2 linked regions of the Coturnix japonica genome follow. The protein of the gene in region 1 purifies or fractionates together with the protein of each later gene. This does not show direct contact. Links are inferred from orthologs where the notes say so. Each region holds a gene or a part of one and is shown on either strand. Other genes may lie near its edges. The genes, in order: RRM1 and RRM2B.

Region 1 (2,763 bases):
GGGGGCCCTTCCATGCCATTAGAAGATTATGATACAGGAGCTTGGCTGAGACTGAACCTTAGAGACAGTTAATAAGAACAGCAGGTCGATTTACAGCATGTTTAATGAAGTACAGAGAAAACAATTTGTGTCCTGCAGATTCTCCAGTATGACATGTGGAATGTCACCCCGTCCGATCTGTGGGACTGGAAGGCTTTAAAGGAGAAGATTGCAAAGTGAGTAACTGCATGGTTAGATTTAAATGCAAACTGCATCGGGTATGTTATGACTGAAGACAAAAGGCTGACTGCAAGAACTCAATTGGCTCTATATATTTCCCTGTAATTTCCTTCCCCTCATAGGTTTTCTTTGTGGATGGCTACACGCAGGGTGTGCCCACCCCATGGGCTCTGTTCTAGCTGAGATTTCTGCATGTGTGAGCTGAGAATCTCTGATTTGTTCCTGGGTCTTTCCTCTCCTTTCTCCCTTGGTTGAAGCTTTTTAACTCATGGCTTTCATTGCCAGGTATGGCGTCAGAAACAGCCTTCTCCTTTCCCCCATGCCAACTGCTTCCACTGCTCAGATCCTGGGCAACAACGAATCCATTGAGCCCTACACCAGTAACATCTACACACGCAGAGTCCTTTCAGGAGAGTTCCAGGTAAGCACTTGAGGCAGCTTTGCCAAAGAGCTTTTCTGTAGTTGTAGTTTCAATAACTTTCATCATTGGAAAAGACAAAATGGAGCCTACTGATTGACTGTGCTCCTGTGAAGAAAGGTTGAGGGAACTGGGCTTGTTTAGCTTGGAGAAGAGAAGGCTGCGGGGAGACCTCATTGTGGGCATCCGGTACTTGAAGGGAGCATATAAACGGGGGGGGGGGTGGTTGTGAGGGTGGGCAGTGATAGGACAAGGGGGGGGGAATGGTTTTAAAGTGAGACAGGGGAGGTTCAGGTTGGATCTTAGGAGGAAGTTTTTCCCCCAGAGGGTGGTGACGCACTGGAACAGGTTGCCCAAGGAGGCTGTGGATGCCCCATCCCTGCAGGCATTCAAGGCCAGGCTGGATGTGGCTCTGGGCAGCCTGGGCTGCTGGTTGGTGACCCTGCACACAGCAGGGGGTTGGAGCTGGATGCGCACTGTGGGCCTTTGCAACCCAGGCCTTTGTATGGTACTCAGTTCAGTTGGATATTTATGTCAAAAGCCAAAAATGCTGAGGAGAACCTGTGACCAGTGTGCCTGGAAAAAATAATCCACTTAATTAGACCTTGACAGCCTCTGCTGCATGGGTCAGGTGCAGGGCTTCTGGAGAGATACCCCAACAGTCCCAGCAAGCAGAAGTTTGCTTAGTGTTAACTGGAGAATGAAAGTTTGGCAGTGCTGCACAAGGTCTTGTGTAGGTGTTGGAAAATCTCTCTGCATGTTGGTGTGGGTTTTTCTCCTCTATGTGGAAAACCTCCTCTAGGAGGTGCATCTGTGCTGTAAGTCAGGGCACGTAGCTTAGAGTATACAGTGCTCTCATTCCTTGGCCTTTGCTGCTCACAGGTTGTGAACCCACATTTGTTGAAAGATCTGACGGAGAGGGGTCTGTGGAATGAGGAGATGAAGAACCAAATCATTGCCCACAATGGCTCCATCCAGGTATGCAGGGAAATGAGAGGGGGGGGAGATGGCTGGGACTCCCTCCAGAGGAATGCTGGTGGGACAGCTGGGAGCAGGTTTGCTATGCAGTGATTTTAAGGTCTGCTGTGCATGAATGACTCAACCAGCCTGGGAGGAGAAGCCTCGGTCTGGAACATTTCCTTCAGAAAGTTGAGGGAATGTGCCTGAGCTGTAATTTGTTCCTGCTGGAGCTTGCCCACGGAACAGAGAATTCCAATGGAAATATGCAGCTAATTATTACTTGAACAAATGGAGAGCTGAGCTGCTTTGCTTTATGCAGATTCCACAACTATTTGGGTTCCCCTTTATCACAGAGACTGGGGAGGGGTAATTTTGTAGCAGTGAGTGGGCTTGAGACAGGAGCTGAGTCCATGGCATCCAGATCTGGAAGGTGTGTGTAGGAGAGTCTGCATGGGATGGATTATTTGTGCTCTGGGGATTGAAGTGCTGCTGTGTTTGGAGTCACACGCTAAAAAAAGGTGCATCCTACTCATGCAGTTGGACATGAGTGGGAGTGCTGAAGTGCTTGAAGAGCCTCACGACTATTTAGGACGAAACATGAACATCCTATTTGAAAACAGCTTTTTTCCTCTTAAATTCTCCACCATAGGGCACCTTCTGAGAGCAAGCGAGGTTTCTTTGTGCTCAAGTGCTTTCAGATCCCCAATGTTTGGGTTCAGTGAGGGAGCTGCAGCTGCAAGAATAATACTGTGGTGACATCAGTGGTTTGTGAAGGGTTTGTAGGCATGAATATGAACGTTTGAGCAGTCACGGCTTATCCTGCGTTGAAAAACTCTTCCTTTCAGAATATATCTGAGATCCCCGCTGACTTGAAGCAGCTCTATAAGACGGTGTGGGAGATCTCCCAGAAAACTGTCCTCAAGATGGCAGCAGACAGAGGAGCTTTCATCGACCAGAGCCAATCTCTCAACATCCACATTGCAGAACCCAACTACGGCAAACTCACCAGCATGCACTTCTATGGGTGGAAGCAGGTATGAGGGGGGGGATGGCTGGGAGGTTTGTTCAGAACAAGAGAGCAAATGGGTACTTTCATGGGAAAATTGGCCTCGCTGACTCTTAGAAGGGGAAATGACCTCCCAAGAATCCAGTGTTACCAGTGGAAT
Region 2 (4,279 bases), on another chromosome or scaffold:
TGAGAGATGAAGTACTTTTCATCTGCTTTTAGCTTGTTCCAGTGAGGAAGGTCCTTTGATAAATCAACCTAATGAAAAAAGACAAAGAACTGTTACCATCCCTTTGTGCTTGTTATTCTGTAGGAACAAAAGTGGCCTCGTCAAACAACTGAGACAGAGCTTTGGCACAATCTTTGCATGTAGAGAATTTAAATACATGCAAATATCAAGCACAATAAACTACCACAGTACTGCAGTTTCTCTGCAACAGCAACACCCTGTGTTTGCTTTGCAGTTTACACTATTGTCATTCAATATATATTGTTTTAATTCCATGTTATAAATAAACCAGATTTCAAAAAGCATCAGCCTTACTGGCATCAGTATGAACATGCATCTACAGGCAGGTCTCTCTCTGAGACATTCACAAACTCTACTAGAAATAAATGCTTGTACTGCAAGAAACCTGTACCCAAGTGTGTCAAAAGATGCATGGAAGGCAGTGTTGCTTTTGACAGGTGTTCAGCCCCCATGCTACCCAAGAACAGCACGTGTAGATACTGTGTTTACTGTGTAAAGTAACTGCATTGCCTGTGCCACTGGGTTCTCACCATGGTAGAAAACCACAAGCTCCTTAGCGTTGCCCATCTTTCTTTGTCTGTTTGTTCCCAAGGCATTTCTGAGCCACAGCAGCAGTTAAGCGGGGCCAGGTGGGAAAACTGCAGCTTTTAGACTTGCGTGTGTGTGGGTACAATTTATGTACAAATATATATTCATCCTCATGCATAAATACACACACAAACCAATTTTACATCTAACTTTCCAATTCATTTGGAAATGTGCTGACAGGTGGTGGGACAGTGGAAGAAGGAAGCAGTGATACAGTAAGAGTAGTGCTATTCAGGATGGAGTTTCAGTGCTTCGTAACTGTTTAAATCAGCTTCTCCTGACACCAGACAGCATCATCACCTTTCTGAAAAATAAGTGCCTAATATTAAAGAGCAGCATTCTCATGTGCTCCGAATCTTTAACATGAGCAAGGAGGTAGCTGCAGACAGTGACCGCAGCAGGTCACAGCCTCTATACCTCTGACACAGGCTCCCCTATACCCAGAGAAGTGTCCCAGGATACAGTTCCGCTCATCCTAAACCTAACACTCAAATCAGGCCAGCTGAACCACCTGATGGAAGCAGCTTTCCTTCCACTGACCCTGAAGGGAGTCCTACTTCAGCACAGGTACCTCATGATCTATAGAACTAACCCCAACCCATACAAATCACAAGCCAGCAGCAGGGCTAGCGATGACACTCCAGGCTCCATGCCCCAAAGCTCACCTCTTCTGCTGTCCAAAAGGAGGCCTGGGCCTGTTTGTACATCTTCCATATGTCCGGGTGCTGGATGGGGAAGATGACGAACCGACGGGGATTCTTTCTGAGAAGAGGCTCCTCGTGAGGTTTCAAGCCATTTTCAGCTTCACTTGGAGAGGAGCTCTGAAGATAAAGCACAGTCCTGGTTAAGGCTGCTGTTACTATTCCCTACTTTTCCCTCTGTCACAAAAATACAGCCCAAAAGCCCACTGTCGCAGGCAGACACTCACCCTCTCCCCACAGGTGGCTGCATCACTCTTCCCTGGGGTGCTCACCCCTTTGCCCTCCATCCGTGCCCTGCTCAGGCAGCAGCACTGCCTTCCTGCCCTGCTCTGTTCCACACCTCTCACATCAACCAGCCCCTGAGCAGCTGCACCTCTTGAGGGCCCAAAGGAACACTTTTCTGCTGTACAAGGAGGAAACTGCAGCTGCACTTGCACTGCGCCCTCAAAAGATGCCGTCAAACATGGTGGGGACGCATGCAAGGTGACAGTGCTGCTCAATGGTTTCTCAAGGGCAGCCTGCACCTCAACCCCACTGTGATGTACCTGAGCCTCTAAAAAACAGCACACGGGGCTCATCATGTAGAAAGATAACCTGGAAAACACTTCTGGTGTATAGAAGAAGTGTTTGACCACCCGAACAGCAAGAAAGTGGGTTTTTAATGCACAGGTGGAACCTCCTGTCACTGGCTGCACGGAGAAGAGTCTGGCTCCATCTCCTCTATTCTCTCCAAGCCGGCTGAGCTCTCCCAGCCTCACTGTGTACAACAGAGGCTCCACTCCACACCCCCAGCTTTCCTGTAGGCCCCCTTCAGGTACTGGAAGGCCGCTATAAGGTCTCCTCAGAGCCTTCTCTTCTCCAAGCTGAAGAGAATGGCACTCTCAGCCTGCTGGCACAGGGGAGGTGCTGCAGCCCTCTAATCATCTCCATGGCCCTTCTCTGCACCTGCTCCAACAGCTCCACGTCCTTCTCGTGTTGGGAGCCCCAGACCTGGACACAGTGCTGCAGGTGGGGTCTCACAGGAGCACCTGGTGGCTCTGCACCCCAGAGGGAAGAGCAAAGCTCTGCTAATTGTTTCTGGCAGGTCAGAGCAAATCAGCTGCATTAAGGGAACAGCACAACACTGATTAAAGACATAAGCGTGCGTGTATAGATGTATATTTAAGGCTTGTACTTAATACAGCACATCCCAGTTTCCATCAGCTTGTGTACAGCCGGAACCCAGCCTTTGTAAGGACATGGTGTATTTCTCCCTCGCACACCTTTAGCTTCACGCCCTCAGGCCCGGCTGCGCTGACCGTGCCCTGAGGACGCAGCAAGAGCCCCGGGCAGCTCCCCAGCAGCGCCCTTCAGACCCAGGGATAAGGAGGGGAGAGAGGATTCTACCTCCCCTTCCCGACACGGAGGCGGGTTCTGCTTCGCCCGCAGAGGAGCCGGCCCGGCCCCAGCCGTGCGGGGCGCACACCGAACCCCGAGGCCGGGCCGGAGCCTGGGGCCGTCGTGTGATCACTCCGCACTCACTCCGCTCTGCCGCTGCCTCCCCGCCCGACTGCGCTGGTCGCCCCGCCCGCCCTTACCCGCTCCGGCCCGGGCTCCTCCTGCAGGCCCGCTCGCCCTCCTTGTTCCCCCATGGCCCGCGGTTCTGGGCCGCAGGAGCCGCCGGCTGAGGGCGGAACGGCCGCGGCCGCCCCTCCTCCGCGAGGCGGGGCCCGGCGGGAGGCGGTGCAAACTGCTCCGGGCCCGGCCCTTAGCCCGGCCCTCAGCCCGGCCCTCAGCCATTAACCCGGCCCTTAGCCCGGCCCTTAGCCCGGCTTTGGCCCGGCTGAGCCGTACCTCACCCACCGGGCTTCGGCGTTGCTACAGCACTGCCAGCCAGCAGAACTGAGCAAGGCAGCGTTCTCAGCTGGCTCTGATACATCGCCTCAAAGTGTCAGCGAGATACAAAGCACACGACGGAACCCAACCAACCCATGCGACAACATCTCAGAATACATTCGAGCAATTGTGTAACAGCCGTACTTCCAGATGTAGAACTCTCAGCCCTTGCCCTGGACTTGCTTGCAGGGTCTGTGCGAGCAAGCAGTGTGAGTGAACGCACTGCTATGATGCTCGTCATTTATTGCAGTCACTTCTTACCAACAGAGATTGCTGCGAGAGACTGCAATCGCCAGAGTTCCTTTGTTTCCTCTTCCTCGTCTCCAGACCGGCCCGGCCCTTGGGCTCCAGTTCATGTGGATGCACGGGGTCATTTGTCAGCACAATCAAAAGGGGGGTGGGAGAGAGTAGAAAAGCCCTGCTCCATACAGTAGGGAGTGGTTTGGTACAATGGTTTGAAACTGGACAAATCTGAAAGCAAACACCAATGAGAAAGGAAAATAATTTATGAGCACCAAGACAGTTTGCTGACACACATCCAGGATTGAGACACTGCAGAGAGGAGCACTCAGAGTGCCAGGAACAGGCAGTCGAGGAGGAGGAGATAAGGATGTGGAGGTCTGATGTTCCTCGTGGAGAAGAGTCCGCACTCACCGCACCATCCCCATCATGTGTGAGAACTGGGAGCTGAAACACGTGTTCAGTTCTTCTGGACCGTATCTGCCCTTAGTGGCTTTTACTCTTTAAGCCCTGTAAAGGAGCTCAGGGATGGTGGTTAGGAAGCTTTGGTGACCAGACCTGTGCAGCAGGGTGACTGACTGCTGGTCCCAAACATAGAACAGGTTTGATTTCCTTAAATGGAGTTTTCTGACAAGAAACACATACCTAAGAGTCACACTACTGAACAGCGTACCAGAATATATTACAGGCATAATAGGAGAAAATACAGTCTTATACAAGCATTTGCTGTTACCTGACTACCGCTCTTTTTGAGCCACTTTCATTGCCCAAACATACCCTTACATGCTGTCTAATGTCCACATTCAACTAGCGCT

What was found.
Region 2: the proteins of RRM1 (region 1) and RRM2B purify together in Homo sapiens (affinity purification with western blotting; 3 studies listed by BioGRID and IntAct, counting the BioPlex papers as one, with this or other methods). This does not show direct contact. The link is inferred for Coturnix japonica from reciprocal best matches to the Homo sapiens genes RRM1 and RRM2B.

The regions. Positions count from the first base shown.
Region 1 is NC_029516.1:174,288,820-174,291,582, reverse strand, and holds part of RRM1 (ribonucleoside-diphosphate reductase large subunit), read left to right. Parts: intron 1-138; coding exon 139-215; intron 216-504; coding exon 505-640; intron 641-1,519; coding exon 1,520-1,615; intron 1,616-2,442; coding exon 2,443-2,631; intron 2,632-2,763. UniProt on the Homo sapiens protein: Provides the precursors necessary for DNA synthesis. Catalyzes the biosynthesis of deoxyribonucleotides from the corresponding ribonucleotides.
Region 2 is NC_029517.1:117,701,954-117,706,232, reverse strand, and holds the start of RRM2B (ribonucleoside-diphosphate reductase subunit M2 B), read right to left. Parts: upstream 3,034-4,279; 5' UTR 2,981-3,033; coding exon of another isoform or gene 2,927-2,980; intron 1,753-2,926; 5' UTR 1,637-1,752; coding exon 1,577-1,636; intron 1,470-1,576; coding exon 1,314-1,469; intron 69-1,313; coding exon 1-68.